Linked DNA regions of Mus musculus: all the other regions are reported to be linked to region 1. The links are microRNA targets in miRTarBase. Many come from high-throughput screens and were not tested one by one. Region 1 holds a microRNA gene; each other region holds the end of a gene's coding sequence.

Region 1 (7,119 bases):
AATCTCAAATGATCACCCACCCTTCTGGCCAGTCCTATACAAAGCAAAGCTTCCACTAGAGAGGTTGAGACATTTGCCCAAAGACCCACAGCAAGATATTGCCCCCTCGGTCTGTAGCTAGAAGGAGGGAGGTGGACCACCTGGGTTCTGATCTGGGTCTGTGACTCGCCTTTTGTGTCAAAGAACCTTTGTGCGTAGTGTCCTTGTCCTGGAGAATGGAAACATGAGGTCCCTTTATAAAGGGGGCTGTGCGGGAGGCAGTGCTGATGAAGACTAGAGAGCCCAGGGGCCTGCTGAGATCCAGAGATCCCCTCCAGCACCCAGTGGTCCTCCATGATGCTGGGCATTCTGCTGAGACCCAGAGGAGCAGCTGCAAGCTTGGCTGCCGGGCAGCTTTCCTGCTGCACACTGGCCACGGGGGGAAGCTAGCTGGCCACCGGATACTCCGCAGATAACCAGCTCCTGCTGTGTGATTTCTGCTGGGCTGGGAGTGGGGGTGGGGATCAGGGACGCCCCACCCCCAGGAGGTGAGGGGCAGAAAACAGGACTCCAAGCCAAGCAAGTGGAGAGTGCAAAGACCCAGCGCAGAAAGGAACAGAATGTGCCCTACCTAATCAGAGCTGGGGCCAATGGCTGGAGCCCAGAGCCACAGGGGGATGAGACAAAAAGGTGGCATCCAGGGGAAGCTGGCCATCAGTGGGGCACGTTGTGGCAGGGAACTCAACATGGAAGCCAGTTCTGTTGCTGAAGGAAGCAGCAGCCTGGTCTGAGTTCCAGGAAGATTTGCATGGCTGGCTTTAGGGAGGGATACCAGGTGGGCAGGGAATGTGGGAGAGGAGCTCTGGGAGGGGGCAGAGAGGGGTAGGTGCGCACAGCACAGGCCGAAGCAGTGGGAACGGGAACTTTGGGAAGAGTCCGCAATGGCTTAGGGGTGGCGATCTAGCTAGAGTGGGTGTGGCCAGAAGCAAAGGGCAGAAGGAAATTCCAAGAGAGCAGCCCCTGGCTCCAGCGAAGACCACCCCAGCTGCACTTGCAGCCCAGGGCGCTTGGCAGGACCTCTCCACTTAAGACTGGTGGTTCAGAGACCAGCGTGGTCGGAGCCCCGGAGCTCGGGTCTCAGAGGCCCCGAGGGTTGTCTAAACTGCCTCGTGGGCACTCTCAGCACTCAGGTGACCAGCAGATGGCTGTCTGTAGGGGCGTGGCCCCAGCTGACTCTCAGCCTGCAGTGCCCACTCGGTCCTGAGTGTGCACAGCCCGCGGAGGACAAGCAGAGGTGGTAGATAGAGCTGAGGATCCTGGGAGGAAGCTAGCCACCGTGTGCTCCCTTCTGGGCACCAGAAAAACCCGGGAGCTAGAAATACAAACCCAGCCTTGGAGGCCTGTATCTTTCCTAAGGAAGGTGGATTTGTCAGGGTGGAGGGAAGGGATTTGATTTAGCTGCTTGCTAGCCTGATTTATAATTTGTAAACACTCAGGCAGGCCTGTGGGTCTCTGCATATTTCCAAAGTCCAGAGAAGCAGCCTTCTGGACCAGTAGCTGACTAACCCTTTGCTATGCTTCAGTCCTTCCCAGTAGTCCTTTCTTTGTGCTTGCCCCAGGGGTCCTCTGCCATTGGGGGTTCAGTCCCAGCTTATATTCCTGGAGACCACAAGGCTCTCCTCTGTCACTGGTCAACTACAGGGGGTTTGCTGGGGTCTGAGCAGCTGGGCACAATTCCACCTCTACTGCGGGAAGCAACACTTCCCTGAAGAGCAGAAGAAGCCTGTAAGAAAGGCAGCCCTGAGATGGCGGGGTAACCTTGAGCCGTTTGCTCTCCCGAAACCCCATCTTCCCAATGGTACCACTTGTGCTCACTCAGGCGCACCGTGGGACGCAGAGCCCACGTGTGCCCCGCATTTGTCAAGCACATGGCAGGGATTAGGAAGGGCGTGAGTTACATCATTCACTTCTTTTTACAGCTGAGAAAAACAAACCGAGGCTCAGCGAGGTGCAGCAGTCTGTCCAAGGTCACACAGCCCAGAACAGGACAGGGATGTCCCAGTTACACAGCACCCATGGGACTATGCGGCCGTAGGACTGCACCTCCTTCACCTATTCCCCGGTCCTCTCAACTCTCAGGCTCTGCAGGCTACGTGGGGGACACAGAGGTGGGTGGTGTGGGCAGAGCGCAGCTTGCTGGGAGGAACGGGTTAATGCGCTCCGCCGCATTGGGCCGGCCTCCAGGAGAGCCAGCCAATGGGCATGCTTGGTGATGAGGTAATGCCAGGACGCGCAGAGTGGGTGGGGCTTGAGTGGACCCCTCTGCTCCTTCTGACTTTCTGCTCTCCTTAGCAACCCCTCACCTTTGACCTTGATATCCCGGCTCTTCTTCCAACCTTGAGGGACTGGGATCATCAGCCCCCTGCAGCACTGAGCCTCACGCACTGCTGCAGATGTTCAGATGCATCCTAGCCTGAATAACACCCCCTGGACCTCAGTTTCCCTAGATGTAATTTCTTAATTGTCAAAGTCCCTCCCAGTGGGGTACCTGCATGGATCCCCAGAGCAGCAGGCAGCCTTGCCTTGCCTTTGACCTCTGCCCCGTCGCAATGGTTCCCAGAATCCGGGGCCAAGGAGTCACTAGGCCAGTCACACCCTTCACGTGGTCCCGACCCTTGGGTGCCTCTCCTGACTGATCCCACTGACCCCTTCCTCCTAAGCTAGGAACTAGCTAGCCACACAACAGCCGCAGCAGCAGCAGGCTCGCAGCGGTAGTTAGATGACAAAGTTCACCAAACCACTCGGCCTAGCAGAGCTGGGTTAGTTAAACGTCTACTACGGGCCCAGAGCTCCGGCTCCGTGTGGCCTGGTGCCCTACAACCCTCCTGTTGTCGCTATATGCTGAACGCCACCCGGGCACGAAGCAGTTAACGCCCTTGCAGCGAGCTGGCAGAGCCGGCTGCCCGGCTTATTAGTCAGCCGGCGGGGAGGGGGCGGAGGGAAGGAGGGAGGAGGGAGGGAGGGGTTCAGTGGAGAGCCGCAGAAAGCTATTCTCAGGGGCTCCCGTGTGTGGGGAGGGCGGCTCAGCGGGAACTGCCGCTTCCCAGAAAGTTGATTATTTTTAACCCAGGAAGAAGAAAGGAAGGAGGCCCAGGGAGGACTCAGAGAAGACGAGGAAAAGAGAGGAGAGGAGAGAAAAAGAGGAGAGGAGAGGCGAGAACAAGGAGAGGAGAGGAGAGAGAGGAGAGGAGAGGAGAGGAGAGGAGAGGAGAGGAGAGGAGAGGAGAGGAGAGGAGAGGAGAGGAGAGGAGAGGAGAGGAGAGGAGAGGGATAGATATTTGGAGGGAAAGGACAGGCAGGGCAGGGAGGAAGGAAGATGAGGCTTAGATATCCCACAGCAAGGGTTGGGGAACGCTCTGGGCCAATTCTGGAGGAGGAATAGATGTGGGGTACCCACCCCTGCTGGACCTACCATCCTCCTGTCCTTGTGGACTGGCCTAGTTGCATGGGGGCTTGAGGGAGGAACTGGGCACAAGGCAGTTCCAGCTCCTGGGAGTGCTCTCAGGTCAGTGGGCAGCACAATGGCACAGCCTTGTTCTGGCCTTCACGGTGACTCCTGGGAGTCTGCATGGAGGCCCTGGGAAAGAGGACAAAGAGGTTGCCTTGGTGCTTGGGCCGAGAGGGATTCACTTACGGGGGGGGGGGGGGGGGGGGTGTGGGCCCAAGTCACTTCTCCTACCTCTAGGTGGTGTCAGGCTGGGAAGGCACCTCAGAAGCAGGAGCTGGGTTCACAGAGTGAGACAAGCCAGAGACAGCTGGCCCACAGGGCTCGCAGGCGTGGCGAGCCATAAAAAATGCATTGGGTGCCCCCAAGAAGGCTGAAATATCAGGGACTTAGGCAGACTGGCTGTGTGTGTGATCTCAGCAGGGGTCAGAAGTGTCCTAGAGAAGGGTGCATGAGGATCTACTGGGATGACTAACTCAACTAATGCGAAGCCAGGGAAGACAGGACTGGCAGTCTTCAGGCCTCAGATCCAAGTGGTCTATCAATTCCTGCCTCTGGAAGGTTTGGCAGGCTTTTATGGAGCAGAGAGAACAGGTCTCCAAAGCTCCCAGAGGCTAGGAACTGGGGGCTGAACTCAAGCTTGGTTTGTGCCATGGTGGAAGACCAGCCTAGTGCAGATGCGGGAGGAATCAGAAAGCTGTCTGGGCTGGCTATGTGACAGGGAGGGCTGGTGCTGTTCAGGAGGCAGGGGACAACTCACAGGAGCAGGCTGGCAGCTTCGCATATTTGAGGGTCTGGTAGAGATGGCTCAGAGCGCCAGGTGAAAGGAAGACCCAGTGGGGAGGGCTGAGGGAGCTGCAGTGGCATTGCAGAATATGCTAGAATCCTGGTGGACCGGCTGATCCCGGTGGGTCTGCAGTATAGGCAGGGGAATCAGGTTTGTTATGGTAATGGTGCAGAGGGAGAGAGGAGGGTTCTGTTCCTATAATTGAGTACTGGGAGACACAGCAGACAAGACAGTGTGTGGCCAGCAGGGCTGAGCCTCGGGCAGGCCAGGCCGATGCCTGGAGCCTGGGAAGGTCCTGGGGACAGATCAAGAGGCCTCGGGTGTGATGTAAGGGCAGGTATGCATGTTTCTTGCTCTGAGGGCCTTGTCTCTAATTGAGAAGGATTGAGAGGGACCCAGCTACCCCTACCCAGTCACTCTGGAGCCCTGACCAGCTTCAGGCCTTTCCCCAGCAGTAGGTTGGGACTGCTCATTACCTCCACAGGATGTAGAAGGTGCCCACCCACCAAGTCACTCCCCACCCGGCCCCCAACCCCAACTGCTGGCAAGAGGAGAGCAGAGTTGAGCACACAGTAGGTCCTTTCCATGAGCCTAAGCTAGTGGGTAGAGTTAGAGCTACAGACTGGGCTGAGAGCAGAGCCCCTGCCCAGATGCCCTGGAACAGGGAGATAAGGGGAACAGCTGGTGGCTTGCAACTGAGTTCAGGGACAGCGTGTCTCAGTTTCTCTGTCTGAGCATCTGCTGATCCTGAGCTGTGTTTTTAGCTGCAGAAACCCAGGGCCTTGAGGCTCCACCCCTACACTCTGAGCACCACTGCTGCCAACGCCAAGGGGGTCTCGGGAATGGCAACTGAGAGGAGGGGGAAGGTTCTAGGACACATATGGAATCCAAAGTGCTCATCTTCCAGCTCTGAAGGGCCTGCCACGGCTAATAACAGTCTTCCAGCCAGGCAGTGATGGCACACACCTTTAATCCCAGCACTCAAGAGGCAGAGGCAGGAGGGTCTCTATGAGTTCAAGGTCAGCCTGGTTTACAGAGTTAGTTCCAAGACAGCCAGGGCTGCACAGAGAAACCCTGTCCTGGCGGGGGAGGGTGGGCTTCCCATCAAAGCTATGCTGGCCCTGCCCTCTCACCTCCTCCCAAGGGTGAGAAGAATAAGGCCCAGATCTAAAGGACAGACCTGAAGCCACCCCACGGCTGACTGTGTTCTCTGAGCCCCCACCCCTAACCCTATCTACAAAGTGCCTGGCTCCTTGGAAGCAGAGGAGGGTAGGTGTCAGGCTGTCATTCCGTGACCCAAGGCTCCCCATCAGTATGACAAGGGTGTAGGCTAGAGCCCTCTAAAGTGGACAAGACCCAGACTTCCCAGCATCCACTCTGAGAAGCCTAGCTCAGAAGAGTTGGCCAGGGCCCCAGAGCTGCACCTCCTGCTCTGTCCCCATCAGGCATCTCTGAGCTGTGAGGAGCTGTCCCCTCAACAGTGCCTGTGGAACACAAAGAGGGGGGGAGCCCAAGCAGAGAAAGAGCCGCGGGCTGCAGGCGGGCAGGCAGGCTCAGAGCGGCTCTGCTCCGCTTTCTTCTTCCTCCCTCTCTCTTTGTTAAGCTCCTTTTCAGCTGCACAGGCAGAGCCTGGGTGTTCCGAGCTGACAATAATTGCTGCGTCTAGACAGTGTCTGGTAGGAGGCCTCCTTCTCTGTGCCTGCCGGCCTCCCCGAGGCTCCCAGGCCTGGCCCACAGCCCCTGCCCGGCACCCTCAGAGGGTTCCCACACCCCTGCCTCTCTGTGGATGCCATGCCCACCCCCCACCCCCCAGTCTTTCTGCCTCCTAATTCAGTTGGGAGTACAGCTCTGTCCTCCTACCCTTGGGTCCAAAGGCACCCCAGTCTGTTCTATTTTGTGGCCTAAAGTTCAGAAACAAGACACTGTCCAAGAAGCACTGGTAATGCCAGAGGCCTCTGAAGGAGCCAGAGCTCAGCGTAAGGCAGGTGGCTGTGCTGCATAGGCCAGGGAAGCTGCCTTGCTGGGTGAGCTAAGCCTGGACCCTCAGGGTTCAATTCTAAAATTTGATCTAGGTTCTTCTAGAGTTTTCCAACCCAAAGCCCAACAAAAAGACACAGGAATCAGTGTAAGGAAGACCAAGCATTTCCCAGACCACTTTAGGCTGATGGGGATCCGTGTTTTCAGGAGGCTGGGGAAGGAGAACAAGAAACAAACATTAGGAGTTCTGAGATCTGTGCTCAACTCAGCCCTGAAGCTCTGGAAAATTCCCCAGAGTCTCCTAGAGGGTGTTGGGGCAGGCACTCAGGGTGCCACAGACAGCAACAATAACAACCAGAATCTGCTCAGCCCTGGCCCGCTCTGAGCGCAGAGCAGAGCCGACTCTGCTTGCATCTTAATGTGCTTAACCCCCTCTAGGAGAGGGCCCTGGGAGACAAGGGGAGCTGGAAAAATCCAAACGAGCCTCTGATTAAGACCTTTTTTTGTTTTTATTTTTATTTTGTCTTTTGTGAGTGAGGGGGTGGTACGTACCTGTTCGTGTGGGGGTTTGCATGTAGGAGGGTCCGTGTGCACAGATGCAAGCCTGTGGAAGCCAGAGACAGAGGTCAGAGTCTTCCTCTATCACGCTCAGCGTGTGTTTGAGAAAGGGCCTCTCATTCAACCCAGAGCTCACTAATTCAGCTAGGCTGGCCAGCAAGCTCCCGGGATCTGCTTGTCTGCCTCCCCAGCCCCAGGGGTAATAGATACCACTGCAGCTGGCTTTTAAGTGGGTGTTGGGAATCAAACTCAGATCTTCATCCTTTCATGGCCGGCACAACTGAGCCATCATCGCCCCACCCCCTTTTTAGCC
Region 2 (7,119 bases), not on the chromosome of region 1:
ACACAGGAAAAACCGGGTTCCATATAGATCCTAGAGAAGCCCTTCTGCATGTGGAGACCTGATTGTGTTACTCTGGATGCATTGTAGGTGTTGGAGTTAGCAGGTAATGCTTCCAAAGATCTCAAAGTGAAGCGCATCACCCCACGTCACTTACAGCTTGCAATCCGCGGTGATGAAGAGTTGGATTCTCTTATCAAGGCCACCATAGCCGGGGGCGGTACGTATTATTAAGCCTAGATTATTTCTAACTAATGGTCCTCTGTATTTGAATGGTTAACTAGAAGCCATATGGATTTTAACTCCATACGTGTTAAATGTGCTACAGTTCTGTTGGTGTTTGGGTGATCCTAGGTCCTCATAAATGCTACAGGTAAACACTCGAATTGAGTGCCACTCTGGGTTCCTCTCTGCTCCTTGTCATAGTGATCTGAGTAAATACTTGTTCTCCCACCTGTCCTGTGTAGTGCTATTTTTATTTTAGCTTGTTCTTTAAATGATGCGATACTTCAAACCTTAGGTTTAAAATATTTCCCCATCTGTTTTGAACTATGCTAGAGAACTGCCATGACCCTGAGCAGTTGTCTAATGTGGTAGACGTGGCAGGACTGAGCTAGTTGTGTGTTAGGAATCTGTCAAGGTGTGAGGTGAGTTGGCAGTTCTCAGCTGTTTTGAACATACCTTACAGATGTCATGGCTGTAGTTAGCCTTGTTTACTGTTCCTGTAGAAGGGTTCACAGGCTCCTGTAGGTTCAGTAGGATCCAAATGAGAAGGGTCTTAAATAAGTTCATCCTTGGTATAATCGTTTTTTACTTTAGCTTTAAAGCTTTAAGATTTAAAGGACATTATTAAAAATAACAACTCATACTCATTGTGTTGTAGGCGTGATCCCGCACATCCACAAGTCTCTGATTGGAAAGAAGGGGCAGCAGAAAACTGCTTAGGACGTGAGTCGCTGGCCTGCTCTCCTCGGTCTGTAACAGGGCAGAGGGGACTAGTGCGGTGTGCGGAAGAGCATAGACGGTTGCTGTAGACGAGACAAAGGCCACATCTGTATGTTTTTAGACTCGGAGTTTGATGAGTCCCTTTCCCTGTGGTCACAGTCATGTGTTGATTGGCCAGGTTTCTCCCTTGTGTTTTATACAAAAGTAGAATTGATAAAACATTTTTTACAAAAGTACTGTGTCTCAGTATTTCTTCATGATGTATTAGAAATACTTTTTTCAAACCTGGCCAGGGCCATGTTGCCTGCATCCCCAGCGTTTGGGAGGTGTGGGCAGGACCTTCAGAATACACGCTGATCTCTGCCTACATTCCAAGTTCTACCACAACCTGGACTACATATTCTCTTCAGACATTGACGTTTTAAGATATTCAGAATAATCTTAAAGCAAAAATTGGAATGTAGTATACCTTGATTGTTACAGTGTTAGTTTGAATCTCAGATATAATCAATTTTTAGAAATATATATTTATTAACGTATACAGTGTTCTGCCTGCCTATATGCCTGCAAGCCATAAGAAAGCACCAGATCCCATTACAGACCATTGGGAGCCACCATGTGGGTGCTGGGAACTGAACTCAGGACCTCTGCAAGAGCTGCCAGTGATCTTAACCTCTCCAGCCCTTATCAAGGAGTGTTATTAGCCTACTTTATGGGCATGCTGCCCATTGTCCACAGGAGGTAATGATCTGCTGAGAAGACAGTTGAGCTGGTAGATGGGTCAGTGCAGTTGGACACAAGCCTAGGTCTGTCTGGCTTCAGAGTGCACACAGGAGTGATGCTACTAAGTTAGACTTTTCTGATTGGGTCCTGGAATTCTAACTTTGTGTGGCCATTCATCGATCCCACTAACCTGCAGTGACTTACAGCCTTTATGATTGATGTCTAAGTGACTACAAGATGTAAACTAATTCACTAGTAAATGCGATAGCCAAAATTTTATTTTTCTTCAATATGTCTTTGTGAGAAATTAATGTTTTATAATATCACAGTATCAAAACAATTCATTTTTGAAGAAATATTTTATTATGGAAGTTCTGACAAATGCACAGAAATAAAGAAACTAGCACTAGTGTGACAAAGCCATGTGTCCTGGTCCTGAGAATTAGTTTTTATGGTCAATTTTAGCCGTGTCCCCACCTACCACCACCAGTGGATTACTCTGAGTACTGTGACAGTCTTCACGTTGGTGTGCTATACAGACTGATCACAGGGTTCAGTGAAGACAGCTGACGTGGTTTTGTTGTTTTGTTTTGTTTTGTTTTGTTTTGTTTTGTAATTAATTAACTTATTTTATGTATTAGTACACTGTCGCTATCAGACACACCAGAAGAGGGCATCCAATCCCATTATAGATGGTTGTGAACCACCATGTGGTTGCTGGGAATTGAACTCAGGACCTCTGGAAGAACAGTTGGTGCTCTTAGCCATTGAGCCATATCTGTAGCCCAAGTTGACAGTTTTATTACCAAGTACCAGTCAAGTTTTTTATAGTTTGTTGGAATTAAAATCTAGACAAGTTTGGGCTGGAGAGATGGCTCAGTGGTTAAGAGCACTGGCTGTTCTTTCAGAGATCCTGAGTTCAATTCCCAGCAACCACATGGTGGCTCACAACCATCTGTAGTGGGATCACATGCCCTCTTCTGGTGTGCAGCCATACATGTATGTGGATGGTTTTGTTGTTTTTTGGTTTGGTTTGGTTTGGTTTTTCGAGAAAGGGTTTCTCTGTATAGCCCTGGCTGTCTTGGAGCTCACTTTGTAGACCAAGCTGGAACTCAGAAATCTGCCTGCCTCTGCCTCCCGAGTGCTGGGATTAAAGGTGTGCACCACCATGCTTGGCATATGTGGGTGTTTTATCTGCATGTATATCTCTCTGTACGCCAGAAGAGACCATGTGATCCATGAGACTACAAGTTACAGGCAGTTGTAAGCCACTGTGTGGTACTGAGAATTGAACTCGGGACCTCTGGAAGAGCAGTCAGTGCTCTCAAACTCTGAGCCATCTCTGCAGCCCACATATTCTTAGTATTTAAGTTGATTTGTTAGGTAACCTATAGGTGACTATACACCTACAGGTTTATTTTTCTTGTAACCTAAATTTTTGAAGGAGCTGAATTCTGTAGATTTGTTACTGAATGCATTCCAGTGTGTGTGTAGAGGCCAGAGTCAGCATCGGGTGGTTTCCTGGAACTTGCCTATTCAGCTAGACTGGCTAGCCAAGGAACTCTGGAAATCTGCCTGGCTCCATCTTCATGTGCTGGGTTACTACAGATGTGTACTGCTGTGCATTGCTTTTTTATTTTTTTTTTTATTTTTTATTTATTTTTTTTTTTTTAAAGATTTATTTATTTATTATATGTAAGTACACTGTAGCTGTCTTCAGACACTCCAGAAGAGGGCATCAGATCTTGTTACAGATGGTTGTGAGCCACCATGTGGTTGCTGGGATTTGAACTCCGGACCTTCAGAAGAGCAGTCGGGTGCTCTTACCCACTGAGCCATCTCACCAGCCCCCATTGCTTTTTTAATACTTTAAAATTTAAGTATGTTTATGTGTGCCTGCCGCAGTGCATGTGTGTAGGTTACAGGGCAACCTTCAGAGTGAGTTCTCGCCACCTTTATGTAGGTTCTTGGAACAAACTAGGGTCATTAGACTTACAAGGCATGTGTTTCCCTTCTGAGCCATCTTACAGTCCCTGTACTATGCTTTCTGCATGAGTACTGGGTATCCAAACCCAAATCCTCATGCTAACACAGCAGGCACTTCCAATGGAACCATCTCTCTGGACCCATGCTCTTATTTTAACCTGTCAGATCTAGAAGGTTGTGTTTTGTTCTGTTAAGGTTGATGCTGTGGCTGGAGAGATGGCTCTGTAGTTCAGGGCACTGCCTGCCCAACCAGAGGACCTGGACTCCAGTGGACGCTCCATGTGGACTCTCATGGTCACTGTAACTCCAGCTCTTCAGCATCTTCAGATACCAGGCACACAAGTAGTGAACATACATACATGCAGGCAAAGCACCCATATACACAAAAATATGAGAGACAGACGGAGACAGAGAATGTGTCCAAGAGTGGTAGTGCACTCCTTTAGTACCGGCAGGCAGATCTCTAGTGAATTCAAGAGCTACCTGGTCTACATACCAAGTTTCAAGGAAGCCAGGGGCTATACAGAAGGACCTTGTCTCAAAATAACAACAAAAACCACTTGCTGCTGCTGAAGGACCCAAGTTCCGTACTCAGCTTTCACATTGTGCAGCCTGCAATGGCCTGTGATACTCCAGGAGATCCATCGCTATTTTCTGGCCTCCGTGGCTACCTACACACACGTGGCAGACAAATAGAGTTTAAACTTTGAAAGAAAAAGATTGGTGGCTGGGTATAGTAGCAGACATATTTAATTCCAGCACTCAGCAGGCAGATGTAGGCAGAACACTCTTGAGTTTGATGCCAGCCTGGTCTATAGAGTGAATTCCAGGCCAGACAAGGACATAGACCCTATTTCAAAAAACAAAAGATGAGCCGGGCGTGGTGGCTCATGCCTTTAATCCCAGCACTCGGGAGGCAGAGGCAGGTGGATCTCTGAGTTCGAGGCCAGCCTGGTCTACAGAGTGAGTTCCACGACAGCCAGGGCTATAGAGAGAAACCCTGTCTTGAAAAACCAAAAAAAAAAAAAAAAAAAAAAAAAAAGATGGGCTGGAGAGACCGCTCAGCAGTTAAGAGCACTGACTGCTTTTCTGAAGGTCCTAAGTTAAAATTCTAGCAACCACATGTTGTCTCACAACCATCTGTAGTGAGATCGAATGACTTCTTCTGGTGTGTCTGAAGAAGTTCTTACATATAGTAATAAATAAATCTTTTTTTTTAAAGATTTATTTATTTATTTTATGTAAGTACACTGTAGCTGTCCTCAGATACTCCAGAAGAGGGCATCAGATTTTGTTACAGATGGTTGGGAGCCACCATGTGGTTGCTGGGATTTGAACTCGGGACCTTCGGAAGAACAGTCTGCACTCTTAACCACTGAGCCATCTTGCCAGCCCAATAAATAAATCTTGTAAAAAAAAAAAAAAGACTGAGGACAGTGCTAGATGTGGTACAGGCACGGAAGTGATAGCTCCGTGTCACACACAGCAGAGCACAGCATGGCTGAGGTGAGAGGCACACGAGACTCCGTCTGTTAGCTCAGGCTTGGGATTGCTTTTTAGCTTTCTCAGGTTCTGGAGATTGAACTCAGGGCTTTTGCCATTGAGCTACAAGCCAAACCCTGGATTTTTCTTTTCAGATAGGGAAGGCTACTCAGCATTTTCTTTGAAAACCAACAGCAGCCAGGCATGGTGGTGCACGTGACTTTAATCCTAGCACTCAGGAGACAGAGGCTGGTGGATCTCTGTGAAATAGAGGCCAGCCCGGTCTACAGGGTGAGTTCTAGGACAACAGAGCTAGGTAGTGAGACCCCGTTGTCTCAAAAACAAAACAAAATAAGCCCAGCATGACTTGTATGGTTTGTGTGGGTTTATCTGTTTGATTCCATGGATAGCTGGGAAAGAAACTAGCCAGCCTCCTCAGTTTTCTTTTGTGTTTTATGTATGTGAGTGTTTTGCTCAAATGTGTGTCTATGCAGCATGTGCATCCCTACTGCCCATGGAGGTCAGAAGAGGTACTGAATCCCTCAGAACTGGAAATTCAAACCCCAGTCCTCTGAAAAACAAGTGCTCTTAACTACTGAACTGTCTCTCCAGCCCCAGGCACCCTCATCTTATAGACAAATTCAGAGTCAAAAATATCTGCTAAGCTCATATACATCCAGATCAGTGTGAGCTCAAATACAGGGTCTGTTGGTGCAAAGAGCTTGACTATACAACGGGTTTTCTGGTTTTCCTGAGGAGTCGGTAAAGCATCACAAGGCTCTTATTCTAGTCTTGTGGAGAGCCAAATGTTCTGAGCTTTAGTGTTGCAAACAGTTCACAGAAGAGGTGGGTGTGTCTGTTAGATACAGTTCCTAGAGGCAGAGAGACTGGGACTTTATTCTTGATATGGAGCTGAAAATGCATGGCTTTCATAAGTGTCCAGTTGACTGCGCTCTACAGAACTGAGCACACTGGGCTGCAATACCCCAGCATTTCTAAGAATGGTCAGTGGGAAAGCAGCACACTGCAAACTGCCCAGGAACCTAAAGACTGCCCACGTAAGTGTGGATGTGGATATGGTCCATGAACCGCCTCAGCCTCAGCCGTATCCATTGTATGGAATTAGCAACATCACCTCGGGATCTTGTTTTTAGTGAAGCCGCTTGCTCTTCCGCCACGACTCACAATGTGCCATTCTCTTGAGTGGCTGCTATCAGCTTCTCAATCACACGTTCTCTCTCCCTCTTTCTTCAGGCCATCTTGAGTTAGGAGCAGTTACCTAGTTTGGATATTTTCAGGGGAATCCAGAAGAGCATTGACAGCACGCTCTCAGTTCTGACCATTCTCAGGTTGCCTCAAGCCCTAGGCTCTTAGCCAGTGTCTCAGTTCCAACTTCTTTGATGTGAATTGTTGAGAACCTTCCTGAAATGTTTGTGAGACCCTGCACCGGTGCTTCCAACCCATGACAGTGGCCTCAGGATAGGGAGCCTGGTGTGTCTGTCGGTAGCTGATTATATATGAATTTTCTTCGTTTGGTGGATCCTCTGTGAACAAGTTGATTTCTTCCATTGGTGGGAATGGTTTCCTTCCTAAGTCTTTCTCTTAATTCCATGTATTGAGATTCTACCATATGCTGTACAGAAGGGTTTTTCTCTACAAAGACTGGTTCTCTGGCTGTCACCCTCAGAAAAAGTGTGGGGAGGAGAAAGGTGCATAGAAGCGTTCCAGGAGATAGGAACATGGCTCAGATAAAGAGTTCTCCCTGCTTTTACAGAGCCAAGTTAGGTTCATAGGCCTCACATGGCAGATATGCATATCTGAAAAGCATCAAGTAGCTGAATGATGGCCCTTCAAAGAAGCAGTGTGTATCATTCAGGTGTTAGAATGCTGGAGTTGGTAGGTGTGCCCAGGCTAGACACAGGTCTGTGGTCCAAAACAAATGCTGGTTTGATTTTTTTTTTTTTTTGTCTTTTTGTGTTTTGCTGC
Region 3 (7,119 bases), not on the chromosome of region 1:
AATGAAGCCAAGCAGTTTCTCTTTCCATTCCTCTCCAGTCTGTAGTTTAGTCCTGCCATTGTCTCATTTGATAAGAACAAAGAAAAGTTACAGAACTCTCACAAAACTGTCTTTAGGGTGGGCATCCCTTATTAGAAGGTATAGTTTTACAGTGTTTCACTTAACAATGGTCAATATTACCGTCTTCACTTGATACTGTATCTCCTACTTTGAGTTCATAGGCTGTTGTAGTTCCCAACAATTATCTTTTAAGTATTTAAAGACATAAATGTTAGTGCAGCTGGTGTTTGCACAGTATCTCCATGGGGTGGACAGTATCTCCATGGGGTGGACAGTATCTCCATGGGGTGGACAGTATCTCCATGGGGTGGACAGTATCTCCATGGGGTGGACAGTATCTCCATGGGGTGGACAGTATCTCCATGGGGTGGACTGGCTCCCATAATTCATCTCCACCTGTTCTTCCCCTCTCCCCATCCTATGTCTCCCCCAAAGGAGCCTGAGGTCCGCCCAGGAGCAAATCATCTTGGCGCCATCACCAGCCAAGGTTGACATGGCAATGACTCAGCTTACCCAGGACAATGCAGACTTCGCCACCCGAGATCGTTACCACCACTCCTCCTTCCTGAGCCGGGAGCAGTTGATGCCTCCCTACTAGGACCTCGCTGGACCCCACCTTTCTAGAAGCCGCTGTGGAGATGGGGGACCCAAGCCTCAGAACCTTTGGAAGTTGCTTCTACCAATAAGAAAACCCAAGACTGGTCTTCCCACCACAGCCTTGGACGCTGGAAATCACATTCCGGTCTGAAATGGCATGTCTAGCCAGATACTAGGTATGACTATGGCTTCCACGTGTGCCCAACCTGAAGAGTCCACAGGCACCAGGATGATCAGGTGACACCAAGACAACCAAATGTGGAGAATCAAAACGAGATTTCTTATTCTAAGGGGCCAAAATAAACACTTCTTTTTAATTTTATTGTTTTATTTTTTATTATTTTTAAAGAATTATATATATATACATATACTGTAGCTATTTTCAGACAGAAAATAGCATCACCAGAAGAGGGCATCGGATCCCATTACAGATGGTTGTGAGCCACCATGTGGTTGCTGGGAATTGAACTCAGGATCTCTGGAAGAACAGTCAGTGCTCCTAACTGCTGAGCCATCTCTCCAGCACCCTCCCCTGTTTTATTTATTTTGTAATGTATACTAACTACACTCACATGGTTCCCAAGCCACAGAGTATAGAAACCCCCTTCTCCCTGTTTCTCATCTGTTTGGTGTCCGTCCCCCATCACAGGGGCAACCACTTCTCATGCAAACATCAGCCACCTCTTTACAGACCCCTCCCATCTGCAAATGCAGCTCTGTTTACAATGCACTACATCCCGCTCTTCTCCCTTAATCTGCCATAGAAGCATTTCCATGAAGATGCTTACACAGTTTCCTCCTTATGTCTCTATGTCTGAATGTGCCTTAATTTATATACTCAGCCTCACGAGGACGGCATTTAGCTTCATTCTGATATTTTGCTATTACAGCCGCTTCTGCAAAGAGTCACTGTGTTTGTGTGCACAGTCGTGAAGGATACCTGAAGATAAATTCTCAGAAGGAGAATTACAGGGTGACTGGGGATGTACATTTGTAAGCTGTTACTGTTTGGAGAAATGCTTTTTAATTAAAAAGTCAATCAAATACCATGACCAGGCTTGATAGTCACCTGAAATCCCAGGACTTGAGAGATGGAGACAGGAGGACCAAAAGTTTGAAGCCAGTCTGGGCTACACAGTAAGACTCCACCTGTATCATGGGGAAGGGGGAGAAATTGCTATGAATTGCCTAACAGTGTTTCAAAAATATGCGCAGTCTGACTCCCTGACACCTTTGCAGCTGTTTTGCACCATGGATTGCCCGAGACGACAGGACTGTTGGTTCTTCTGTGATCTAGACTTGGCACTTATTGCAAGCATCCAGCAGTGGGGGCCAGGCCTCCTAATAAGCTCAGCCCCTAACCCAGGCTCCAGTTCCACTGCTGAGCGTGGAGGGATGGACTGCTGGCTCACCTTAGACTCTTCCATACGTTCTCCTGAGATGCTGTGCTCTCTCCTGCCGCACATGTTCAAAGTGACCCATCCAAGTTTTAGAAGAGTCATGGGATCTACATCTTTAACAATGCCATACACAAGTCAGTGCTGGGTATGCTGTGGACACATTTTATAAAACATCCATGTGTTGGATAGACAGTTTAGAGGAGGGGAGGGCTGGGAAGGGCATAAGGGGTCAGCTAGGTCTTGTAACCTTCTCTTCTGGAAAACAAGCTCTCACTCGTGATGGCAGGAAACAACCTAGCTCTGCTTAAGGAATAAGCGTCTGAGCACTTTTAGATACATACCTTTAAAGGATGCAGACTTTGGGTCTAAAGCAACACCACAAAAGGAGTCACCATTTCTGACCACTTGAGTTCTAGCCCCAGAAGCCACATGGTAGAAGGAGAGAATCAACTCCTACAAGTTGTCCTCTGACCTCCACAGTTGTGCTGTGACTTTTCAACACATAAACACACACACACACACACACACACACACACACACACACACACACAAACCTTTTAGAAGAAAATATCATAAAAACACAGTCTGAGGGGCTGGAGAAGTAGCTTAGTGGTTAAGAACACTCACTACTCTTGCGGAGGACCCAGGTTCAGTTTCCAACGCTCACATCAGACGGTTCACAACCCCCTGGAACTCTAGTTCCAGAGGATCCAATACCCTTTATCCTCCATGGACATTTGCATGCATATAGTGCACATAGCCTCATTCAGGCGCGCACACGTATACACACACACACACACACACACACACACACACGCACATAAAATTTTGTAAATATTTTTTAAAGGACACAGTTTGGAGAGATAGCTCAGTGGTCAGGAACACTTCTTTCTCTTCCAGAATACCCAGGTTCAATTCTCAGTACCTATGTGGTATCCTACAACTGACTGTAACTCCATTTCTACAGGATCAGAGATTCTCTACTGGCCTCTATAGGCACCAGAGAATGTAATATATAGCCATACATATAGGCAAAACATCAACACACATAAAATAAAATAAAATAAAATAAAATAAAATAAAATAAAATAAAGCAGAAGAAGACAGACTGAGCTGGTCATGGCTTACTAACAGGTTGAAGTAGGAAGATGGTGAAATAAAGCCAACTATTCATGAAGGGCTCAGGGTGACGATCCCTGAGGACCTCTTTTGGTTTGCTTTTGTTGACAGAGTTTCTTTTCTTTTCTTTCCTTAAGGATTTATTTATTTATTTATTTATGTAATGTATATGAGTACACTGTAGCTATACTGATGGTTGTGAGCCATCATGTGGTTGCTGGGAATTTTGATTCAGGACCTCTTCTCACTCCAGCCCTGCTCACTCCAGCCCTGCTCACTCCAGCCAGAGATTTATTTATTATTATATGTAAGTACACTGTAGCTGCCTTCAGACACACCAGAAGAGGGCATCAGATCTCATTATGGATAGTTGTGAGCCACCATGTGGTTGCTGGGATTTGAACTCAGGACCTTCGGAAGAGCAGTCAGTGCTCTTAACTGCTGAGCCATCTCTCCAGCCCTGTTGGCAGGGTTTCAGTGTGGTTCAGGCTAGCCTGGAACTCACTATATAGACCAAGCTAGCCTTAAACTAGCCCTCTGTCCTCAACCTCCAGATCAGAAGCCCCTTTTAAAGAGGAACCTGCATTCAAAAATTTTCCTATGGCTTCTGTAATTAATCACACAGATCAGATGTCTTTAAAACAGCAGAAATATATTTTTTTCATAGCTCTGGAGTACAGAAGTCTCGAATCCGTCTTACTGAGTCAAAAACGAAGGTCAAGCATCAAAGCTGAATCCAAGAATCCACAATCTTTGGGGGAGTTTGTTTTGTGCCTCCTCTAGCTTTGGTTGCTGCCAGCCACCTGGATTTGTGACCACATCTCTGCAGTTCAAAGCCAACACTGCAGGCTACAGCTGCCTTCTGGGAACATGTGAAGTCCATCTTCTACTCTGTTTTCTGAGGCATGCGATAATACAGAAGCCCAAGATAATCCAGAGCAGTGGTTCTCGCCTTTTTGCACAACGCAGAGAAGACTTTGACTGCATCTGCTTTTGCTGTTTTGAATGCTGCACACCAGGCTAAAAGAGCAACCTCTTTGAAGGAGGTAGTGAGCCGGGCTAGCCACAGAGCTTAAGTAGGATGATACCAAGGCCAAAAATAATGCACAGAAGATTCAAGAAGAGCATTGTCCAGTATGATTCATCTTACAGAGAAGAATAAGAGAGGACTGGCTCATGACAAAAATCAGAAACTGTACTCAGTGTCAGGGATTCCAAACAAAATGAGCAGCTCAGTGTTGGGGGGGGGGGGGCAGATGCTAAACAGGTTGATGTTCACAAGCTACCACTTCAGTAAGGGGAGGCAGGAAAGAGAGCGAGCAAGAGGACCAAGGCAAGGAGGAAGGATTTGAAGCTACACAGGAGCACGTGCCTCCTCGTGAAGAGACTGCAGAACACCTCTCTCAAGACCCTCTTCCAGAGGGGGGAGGAGTCAAGAGTTATCTCCTGGTTCCTGGTTCCCCAAACTAAAGGGGGAGCCTAGGAGGACATTAGCCACCTCCACCTCACTTGTAATGTGCATGCATGGGAGTGCCTAGTAGTTCTGCATGGAGTCAGCCTAACTGGAGTCCACCTGGAAGGGGTCATCACAGCTGAGATGCAACGAGTAGCCTGACTATGCACAGGTGGTACACATGGAACCTGAGGTGGCACATTAGCCAGTGTTATATAAAACCCGCATACTGCAGGTCACTACGATGAGTAAGCATGCTTGGCTCATTCAGACAAGGGTTAGGCATGTATTAGTCAGGATTCCCTGGAGGAACAGTACTGATGAAATACATAAGTCTTAACCACAGACTAGATGCCTTTAAAACAACAGAAATATATTTTTTTTCTTGGTTCTGGAGAACAGAAGTATAGAAATGATATTTCATTAGTACCTTACAGGCTGTGGTCCGGCTAGTCCAGCATTAACTATCTCCTGATAAAAGGGCCAAGAATCACATAGTTGTTTCATCCACGAGCCTGGACATCTAAGCTGCTTTTTTGTCTTCATTGGAGTCTCAAAGAAATAGGTTCTAATACCAGTGAAGGAATGCCTCAGCAACAGGATGGATGAACAGCAAGATAGATGAAAGTGAGGGCAAGCAGGCCTCACTGAACAGAGGTCATTTTCTCAGGTATCTCTGAAAATCGTGCTCATCTGCCCTCTAATTTACATAGCCAGATGCATCATACATAAATAATTTAAGTTGGTATTGAGTCTAAGGTTCAGGATTCAAGGAGTCTCTTCAGATTTCTGACTCAGTGTTTAAAGATGGGGCACAACCAGGCAGTGGTAGTGCACACCTTTAATTGAAGCGCTCAGAGTCAGAGGCAGAAGTATTCTTGAGTTCAAGGGAAGCCTGGTCTACACAGATAGTCCTGGGTCAGCCAGGGCTATCCAGAGGAACTCACAACCCCCCACCAAATAAAGATAGGATAAAGGGTGCCAGTTTACATATTCAATATTATTATTTATTTGCATATAAGTGTCTGCATGTATTCAAGGAGGACAGAGATATCAAAGTATCAACCATGAGCTGCATGATATAGGTGCTGGGACTTGAACTCAGGTCCTTACAAGAGTGGTATGGCTCTCGTATCCGCTGAGCCATCTCTCCAGCCTCAGTTTATATATTAGTTCTCTGAAAGGGCACAAAACTTCTGTCAACAACAGTGGTGGATAAATGCCACTGGTATCAGCAGTTTGAGTCAAGGCTCCAGTGTCTAACATTTTTTTCCCTCTCTAGTCTAAGAAGCTATAACCCCAAAGTTCCTTCAATAAGGAACTAGAACCAAGGCCCAGCCTGCCTTGTCAGCAGTATCATATGAAAAAGAGAGGCGGCAACTTCACATTTCTTACCTTTCAAATGGGGGTTCTGCCCACTCATGAACACGGCCCAACTTCTGACTAATCAGATAGGCTCCTGTCTTAAAACATTAAACCCATGAATGATCCAGGTTCAGGGGAAACCTAGCTTTAGATGAGGGTATAGCTCTTTCCTCTTGCCATGTCACAGTGCAGGAAGTAGAGGGTGGCCTGGTGGCGAGTTATCTATTGCTAAGACAAGATATCTAAGAGGAAGCCAAAAAGCTAGCCTAGACCTCTAAAGAGGCAAGGGCCAGTTATTTGAGGTCCTCAGGGTCCTATTGTCTGCTGTGTATCAACTGAAGCAATAGCTTGTACAAGTGAGTTGGGAAGATTATTTGTTCATTCATTCATTCATTCATTCATTCATTTTTGAGACAGGATCTCATGTAGCCCAGACTGGCCTCACACTCATTATCTCATTATGTAGCTGAAGATGACCTTGAACTTCCAAACCTCCTACCTCCATCCCCCAGGTACCAGGTGACATATTCTACCATGCCTAGTCTAGGTGGTGGGATTGAGCCCCTGGCTTCATGTATGATAGGCAAGCATGCTTCCCACTGAGCTACACTCCCAGCCCGGCTTTCTATTGCTGCTGCAACACATTCAGTGGCTTGAAACAGCCAAGGTTCTCTTACAGTTGTAGACATCAGAAGCTCAACATGGGTCTTCTGATGAAATAAGACGATGGTGGAGGCAGAGCCCTGGTCACTCTAGAACAGTAGTTCTCAACCTGTGGATCATAACCCATTTGGCAACCATCTATCACCAAAATTATTTAAATTATGATTCATAGCAGTAGCAAAATCACAGTTATGAAGTAACAGTGAAATCATTTTGTGGTTGGAGTCACCACAACATGAGGAACTGTATTAAACTCTATTAAAGGGTCCAGCATTAGGAAAGTTGAAAACCACTGCCCTAGAGACTAGGAGAGTTGACTGGTTTGATTCCTTTGGACTCAAGGAGCTGTCTTTATTCCATGATGTTGTGCCTTCCACCTTTACCCCAGCCATCAGCAAACACACTCTCTCCAGCCTCTGCTTCTCCATTACACTCTTTTTCTGCCTTTCTTGCCTCCCTCTT
Region 4 (7,119 bases), not on the chromosome of region 1:
TCTGTCCAGGCAGCAGGGGCACGAAGTCCATAAAAATCACCAAGGCCACCATGCCATAGCCACCCCTCTGAAGGAGCACTCAGAGACCAGCCACTGTGCTGGCATCACCCAGCTCTTGAGTTCAAACCACTCCCTGAACAGGAGGATGACTTCTGTCTTCTTCATGTCCAGAATCCTTCAGGGGTTTCCATTACCTTCAGGGAAACCCAGGTCCTAGGCTCCTGGCTGGCCTGCCCCACCAGGTGGCCTTCTCTTGGTTACTTCCTGGTGTAGGCCCTCAAGTCCCAGGAATGCCATGGGTGGTGTCATTGTCCTCCAGTGGCCCACTCTCCTCAAGATCCAGGCAGAGCTCTTCATTTAGGGGTCCTTCCAACCTCATCTGTGCTGATTATGGGGTACCCAAGCACCCCAGCCCTCCTGCCTACCTCAGTCATACCTCTGTGTGCAGTGCTTCATGGTTAGTTTTGTTTTGTTTTTCCTCCTTTGAGTAGTTAGTTTGTGCCAGTCTTGTGCTCAAGGCTGTACTTCTGTCCCTTGAACAGATACATGAAATAAAGTTTCATCTGATGCAGTACTGATGATCCCTTTCTGTCTCTGTTCCCATCCATCACACACAGCTGTGAGCCTTCCAACCCCCATGTCCATGCCCTGGCCCCTCTCCAAGTTGTCTCTTCCTCGATCACATCTTTCCTTACATTTGTCTGATTATCTATCTCAATTGCTAAATTAGATTTTAAAACTGCCTGAGGGGCTGGAGAGATAGCTCAGTGATTAAGATCACTGACTGCTCTTCCAGAGGAACCAGGTTCAAATCCCAACATCCACACGGCAGCCCACTCATCTGTAACTCTGAGGGATCTGATGCCATCTTCTGGCTTATATGGGAATTGCATGCACGTGGAGGCAAAAATACCCATACACACAAAATAATTTAAAAAAATATTTTGAGGGAGGGTTCAAGACAGGATTTCTCCATGAAATCCTGTAGCCATGGCTGTCCTGGAACTCACTCTGTAGTTCAGGCTGGCCTTGCGAGGGAGACCCACCAGACTATGCCTCTTGAGTACTGGAATTAAAGGCATTAACCCAGCATAAAAATATTAAAAACAAAAACCAACAACAATAGGGCTGGAGAGATGGCTCAGCAGGTAAGAGCACTGACTGCTCTTCCAAAGGTCCTGAATTCAAATCCCAGCAACCACATGGTGGCTCACAATCACCCGTAATGAGATCTGATGCCCTCTTCTGGAGTGTCTGAAGACAGCTACAGTGTACTTACATATAATAAATAAATATTTGCCAGCTTATGCCTCCTGAGTGCTGGATCAAATGTGTGTTCCTCCATTGCCTGGGTCTTAGCCAGTTTGGTGTGGTGGTGGTAGTTTGTTTGTTTTTTTTTTAATACTTTTTTTTTTCAAAGATTTATTTAAGTTCAAGGTCAGCCTGGTCTACAGAGTGAGTTCCAGGACAGGACAGTCAGGGCTACACAGAGAAACCCTGTCTCGAAAAACCATAAATAGCTAGCTAGCTAGACTGTATTCTTCCACAGCCTCTTGTTACTTTGAGCTCCTTCCCCACAGCAGAGGATGCCATAGACTTTTGCTCTTGATGATCGCCTTAGCCTACTTCTGCTGAACACATCCGGGTCTGCTGCAAGGATCTGCTCACGCTCTTCTCCCCGAGTTTGTAACTCCCCATCTTTCAGTTCTTGGCTCCTTCAAGACATCTGTTTCCCCCAGCTATGCCAACCAATGGTTCCAAAGCACCTGGAGGGTTTGTTCAAGTATTTTGCTGAGTCAAACCTTAGGGTTTGGGGAGGTTTGGGAGGGTAGGAGGATGTATATTTCCTTAAGGTTCCAGCTGCAGCTGTAGGCCACACACGGAGAACCACTAGACATGTTTTTCATGTCACCCCTCTTTCTTGGTCTGTAATTACACACTCCAAGTGTCTTTTCTGTATGATTCTGAGTATATCTGCCTCTCTAAACCAAGAACTCTGCCTTTAATCTTTAAAATGCCTATAAGCACTTAGGAGGCAGAGGAGGAGAATCTATGTGAGTTCCAGGCTAGCCTGGCCTACAAAAACCCTAAACCATGCATGGAGTAGACTTTACTCCTAGCTCCTTATCATCAAAGCTTAGTGGGCTGTCCAAGAAACAGTTCTGAGAGTCCAGGGACGCAGCTCAGGGGTAGAGTGCTTGTCACACAGAAAGCTCTGGATTGGTCCCCTTATCATGTACACGGGGCATGGTGACACACACCTATAATCCTAGCACTAGGTAGGTGGGGGCAAAAGGTCAGGTCAAGGTTTGTTAGATATCAAGTTCAAAGCCAGAATGGGTTACAAGAGACCATGACTCAGAAAAATAAAGTTTTACAAACATGCTTTAGGCTTGCTAACTGAGCAGGATGTGAGGTAACTTCCTAAAGTCTGAGAAATAGGGGACACGAGGCAAGGCTGTGGGGGTCAGGGCTGCCTCCTGGAGTTTAGCATACTAAACCTTGAATTCTTAGGCCTTGGGGAAACAACTTCTTCTTCTTCTTCTTCTTCTTCTTCTTCTTCTTCTTCTTCTTCTTCTTCTTCTTCTTCTTCTTCTTCTTCTTCTTCTTCTTCTTCTCCCTTTTTTGTTTTTTAAGATTTACTTATTTTATGAATGTGAGTACACTGTTGCTGTCTTCAGACACACCAGAAGAGGGCATCAGATCTCATTACAGATGGTTGTGACCCACCATGTGGTTGCTGGGATTTGAACTCAGGACCTCTGGAAGAAAAGTCAGTGCTCTTACCCACTGAGCCAACTCTCCAGCCTCCCAGCCTCCTCCTCCTTGTTTTTTTTTTGTTTTGTTTTGTTTTGTTTTGTTTTGTTTTTTTGAGACGTGGTTTCTCTGTGTAGCCCTGGCTGTCCAGAGACACTCTGTCACTCTGTCATTCTGTAGACCAGGCTGGCCTCGAACTCAGAAATCCGCCTGCCTCTGCCTCCCGAGTGCCTGGCATATTGCATCATCTTTATGTGCCCCCTTCTATTCAGAAGAAACAATTACACATTTTTCTAGAGATGAGCCACTGAGTGTTCCACAGGTTTAAGTTGGAAAGGTGAAGAATTCCCCAATACCCATGATGAAATGAGCAGAGTACCTAAACATATAGCCCCCTCTCTCCTTTCTTGCTGAGACAGAGTGTTACACCCAGCTCTGAGTAGACATCTTTCATGAAAAAGATACAGATAGCCAGCAAGAGCTGGACAAGGGGCTGGGCCAGGTGTTATGTGCCTTTAATCCCAGTTGGAGGCAAGGGCAGATCTGTGAGTCAAAGGCCAGCCTGGTTTACACAGTGAGTCCCAGGTCAGCAGCGGTACATGATGAGACTCTGCCTCAAAACAAGCACTAAAACCAACCAACCAACAAAAGAGCTGGGCAAGCCTGTACACATCTGTAATCCACCCTTCTGGATACACATCTGTAATCCACCCTTCTGGATACACATCTGTAATCCACCCTTCTGGATACACATCTGTAATCCACCCTTCTGGATACACATCTGTAATCCACCATTCTGGACACTGTCGGCAGACAAAAGTTGAAGGCTAAGGTGGGTTAAACACAAAGACGCAGGAATGTTAAATGACTTTGAGCATTATTAAGAGAAATGAGATGAAAAGTGCGATGGTACATTAATTATGTCACCTCTATTAGAACGGCTGTAATACAAAAGGCAAAAGATGAGCCGTGGAGAGGACCCAATGCTAAGAACACTGCTGCACACCCCTAACTCCATCCCTGGAAACCACAGAGAAATCCTGATGTGCTGGTGTGGATCTATGAACCAGCACTCCTACAGAGAGATGGGGAGCTGTGCTACAGAGACAGTTCATTGTTAGGAGCCTTTGTTGTGCCGGGCATGGTGGTGCATGCCATTAAGCCCAGCACTTGGGAGGGAGAGGCAGGCAGATTTCTAAAACCTTCCAAATCTTAAAAAAAAAAAAAATAAAAAATAAAAAAATAAAAAAAAGATAGAAGACAAAAGCAAAAGAATTTAGTGGTGTTGGTTTCATTGCCAACTGAATGAGTGACTAGCTGATCTGCACCTTATTCTCCTACACGGCACACTTGCATCTGTCCTCTGAGACTTCTCTCTCCACTCACCGGGAGAACACAGTTCAGCAGTTCAGCTCCGAGTGCCACCATAACACTGGCCATGAAACAGACAAGAGCTACAGGGTATCTGCCAATATAAACAAGTTTCCCGTGTAATGAATGACCTGGTCATAGGTCAAAATACTAGACCTCAAATGGCTCCCAGGTAAGTGTTCCATACAGTGTGTGTAATATACCCATACTGCAAACACCTACAGCTAACCACTGCTAACACAGGGTTACTATGTCCAATTTACTGGGGGGATCTCAGAACATCTCACCTCCACATATGCCACACCCAGGGGTGCTCCCTCACCCCCAGTTGGCCCATGCTTACTTCCTTTGGTTTGCTATCCTTTCCACTTTTCTCTCTATTCAGGGCTCCAATATCAAAACTCATCACAGGCTGGTGAGACAGCTCAGCAGGTAAAAGCGCTTCCCACAAAAACCTGGAGACCTGAGTTTGATTCCCAGAACCCACATAGAGGAGAAAGGAGAGAGCCAAGTCCACAAAGCTGTCTTCTGACCTACATTTGTGCATGGTAGCAAGTGTGCACGTGTGTGTGCTTCCCCCACCCCACATAAATAATAAATAAAAATTAAAAAGAAAACCAAGGTTGGGCATGGTGGCATACACAATTTTTTTTTTAAGGATTTATTTATTATATGTAAGTACACTGTAGCTGTCCTCAGACACACCAGAAGAGGGCATCAGATATTATTACGGATGGTTGTGAGCCACCATGTGGTTGCTAGGATTTGAACTGAGGACCTCTGGAAGAGCAGTCAGTGCTCTTAACCACTGAGCCATCTCTCCAGCCCCGATGGCACACACCTTTAATCCCAGCACTCAGAAGGTAGAAGCAGGTGGAACTCCAAGAATTTAAGGCCAGCCTGCTCTACATAGTGAGATCCTGTCTCAAAACCAGAACGCTATCACCATACAAACAACAGCAAAACCAGCTCACCTCTACTGGGTTTCACTGGGCTTTGTAGGGCCAAAGCATTCTGCACTTGCCTGTCATTGCTTTCTGGTCCTGCTTTGCAGGGATGTCACCTTTGCAATCTTGCCACATAGGATATCATGATAAAAGGAACTGTGGTAAAATGAATAAATGGATGAAAAGTGTAGTGAATGAATGATTATTCCAGAGCTCATTGCCCTGTCCTGTCCTGCCCTGCCCTGCTGCTGGCCACTACACCACACAGTCTGATGCTGAAGTGGTAAGAACTGCAAAGGTCTGAGTCGCCCTGAGACCTTTCTTCAAGTTTTCTTCTTGTAAGCACGGTCCGTGTATGAAGGGTTCTTCCTGATAGAAAGACTTCACCCTTCTCTCATGTAAGCCATGCTTTGAGGAGGCGGGGGGGGGGGGGGGAAACTCAGTAGGCATAGCACTAGCTCAGTATGCTCAAAGCCCTGGGTTAAGTTTAATACAGAGGGCTGGTGAGATGGCTCAGTGGGTAAGAGCACCCAGCTGCTCTTCCAAAGGTCCGGAGTTCAAATCCCAGCAACCACATGGTGGCTCACAACCATCTGTAACAAGATCTGACGCCCTCTTCTGGAGTGTCTGAAGACAGCTACAGTGTACTTACATATAATAAATAAATAAATCTTAAAAAAAAAAGTTTAATACAGAGTATCACATAAACCCCCATAATCCTGGCCCTAGAGGGGAAGGCAAGCAGACGTGCAAAATCATCTTCAGTCATAGGGCAAGTTCAAGGTCAACCCAGGCTATACAAGATTACATTCCAGAAAGAAAGAAAGGAAGGAAGGAAGGAAGGAAGGAAGAAAGGTCCTCCACATCCTGACTTTGTGGCTAAAAACTTTATTTCCTGAAGCAGAATTGGTTTTGACACAAAAATTCAAGGAATGGGGCCACTGTTAGGAAGTCTGTCCATGCTGTGCGATGGTGGTGCACACCTTTAATCCCAGCACTTGGGAGGCAGAGGCAGGCGGGTTTCTGAGTTCAAGGCCAGCCTGGTCTACAAAGTGAGTTCCAGGAAAGCCAGGGCTACACAGAGAAACCCTGTCTCAAAGAAAAAAAAAAAACAAAAAACAAAAAAAGGAAGTCGGTCCACCTTTCTAGGTTCTACCCTATTTAGACTAACTCTCCACAAAGCTCTAGAAGTTTCTCCAGGGCCTAGAAGCTACACAGCCCAGCTTTCCACTCTTGAGGCCCCATCCGTAGAAACTCTAGGCCTGAACAACTTTTACTCTGACCTTAGACTTTGTGTTCCAACTTCCTTCCCTTCTACACCCTCCACATACTATTTCCACAGGAAAGAGCCAGTCTGTCTCTGGAGAGGCGTTTCCATGGGAAACAGGAGAGGGAGACTAATAGGCAGCTATGCCTCCTCACAGACAGCAGAGCTGCTCCACCTCCACCTCACAGTCATAGAATTTCTCAAAGAGTTCTGGAGAGGCACTGTTGCATTCAAGCCACCTCCTCAGGGTGCACAGTGCCTGCAGGGCATCGGCTTTGGTGGGCAGGGGCTCAAAGCCATCTTCTTCCCTCCCACTGTCTTCAGTACCCGTCTCCTCTTTGCACACTCTAGGCCCTGGGTCCTCATCCTCCAGGTCCACAAAGTGAGAAAACTCCTCTTGGCTCAGCCCACTAGGGACTGGTGACATCTCAGTGTCTTTGTCCAGGGACAGTGGTGTTTTGCCCGGAGCGAGCCCTTCTTGAACAAAGCTGCTCAAAATGAGCTGGCGAGGTACCTTGGCCCAAGCTGCGGCCACCATGTGCAGAGCATCCAAAACTGTGATGCTAGCCCTGGCCTCCGCCAGGGAGGTGCCCTCTTTCCCACTCTGCATGGCAGCCAGTTTGCTCAGTAGACGGTGACGGTAATGGGCCTTAAAGGCCAAAATCACAGAGCCAGGCAGGGAAGGAGTGGTGCTGGAGGCAGAGAGAGGCAGGAGTCGAACGTGATGGAGTCCAGGAAGGCTGGCCCATTCCTCTACCACTCCAGAAGCCAGTAGCA

What was found. Region 1 holds the annotated microRNA mmu-miR-3089-5p (UGAGUUCAGGGACAGCGUGUCU, at 4,968-4,989, shown strand). A microRNA usually pairs through its seed, bases 2 to 8, with sites in the 3' UTR of a target mRNA and lowers its output. Matches are read on the target gene's strand: a 7mer-m8 pairs with bases 2 to 8, a 7mer-A1 pairs with bases 2 to 7 and ends in A, and an 8mer does both.
Region 2: miRTarBase lists H2az2 as a target of mmu-miR-3089-5p. Seed matches in the 3' UTR shown: 8mer at 1,576-1,583.
Region 3: miRTarBase lists Slc12a8 as a target of mmu-miR-3089-5p. Seed matches in the 3' UTR shown: 8mer at 1,122-1,129.
Region 4: the mRNA of Tigd3 is a reported target of mmu-miR-3089-5p. Seed matches in the 3' UTR shown: 7mer-A1 at 6,129-6,135 and 8mer at 6,100-6,107.

Annotation. Positions count from the first base shown.
Region 1 is chr2:30,716,255-30,723,373 of GRCm38, forward strand. Mir3089 (microRNA 3089) reads left to right here and starts at 4,956; the gene lies at 4,956-5,039. It overlaps Gm14488 (a long non-coding RNA gene), which reads right to left and starts at 4,933. Exons shown (of 4, transcript XR_866106.3): 1 at 3,719-4,933; 2 at 3,452-3,616. Gm39782 (a long non-coding RNA gene) reads right to left here. Exons shown (of 3, transcript XR_866107.2): 2 at 6,801-6,852; 3 at 5,309-6,459.
Region 2 is chr11:6,422,194-6,429,312 of GRCm38, reverse strand. It overlaps H2az2 (H2A.Z histone variant 2), which reads left to right. Exons shown (of 5, transcript NM_029938.1): 4 at 88-217; 5 at 881-2,087. The coding sequence ends at 942. Among named protein-coding and RNA genes, the nearest start is that of Ppia, 9.9 kb to the right of the region's middle.
Region 3 is chr16:33,662,430-33,669,548 of GRCm38, forward strand. It overlaps Slc12a8 (solute carrier family 12 (potassium/chloride transporters), member 8), which reads left to right. Exons shown (of 13, transcript NM_134251.3): 13 at 496-1,709. The coding sequence ends at 658. Among named protein-coding and RNA genes, the nearest start is that of Heg1, 18 kb to the right of the region's middle.
Region 4 is chr19:5,885,195-5,892,313 of GRCm38, forward strand. It overlaps Tigd3 (tigger transposable element derived 3), which reads right to left. Exons shown (of 2, transcript NM_001362045.1): 2 at 5,944-7,119. The coding sequence ends at 6,494. Slc25a45 (solute carrier family 25, member 45) reads left to right here. Exons shown (of 6, transcript NM_134154.4): 6 at 1-574. Among named protein-coding and RNA genes, the nearest start is that of Tigd3, 5.4 kb to the right of the region's middle.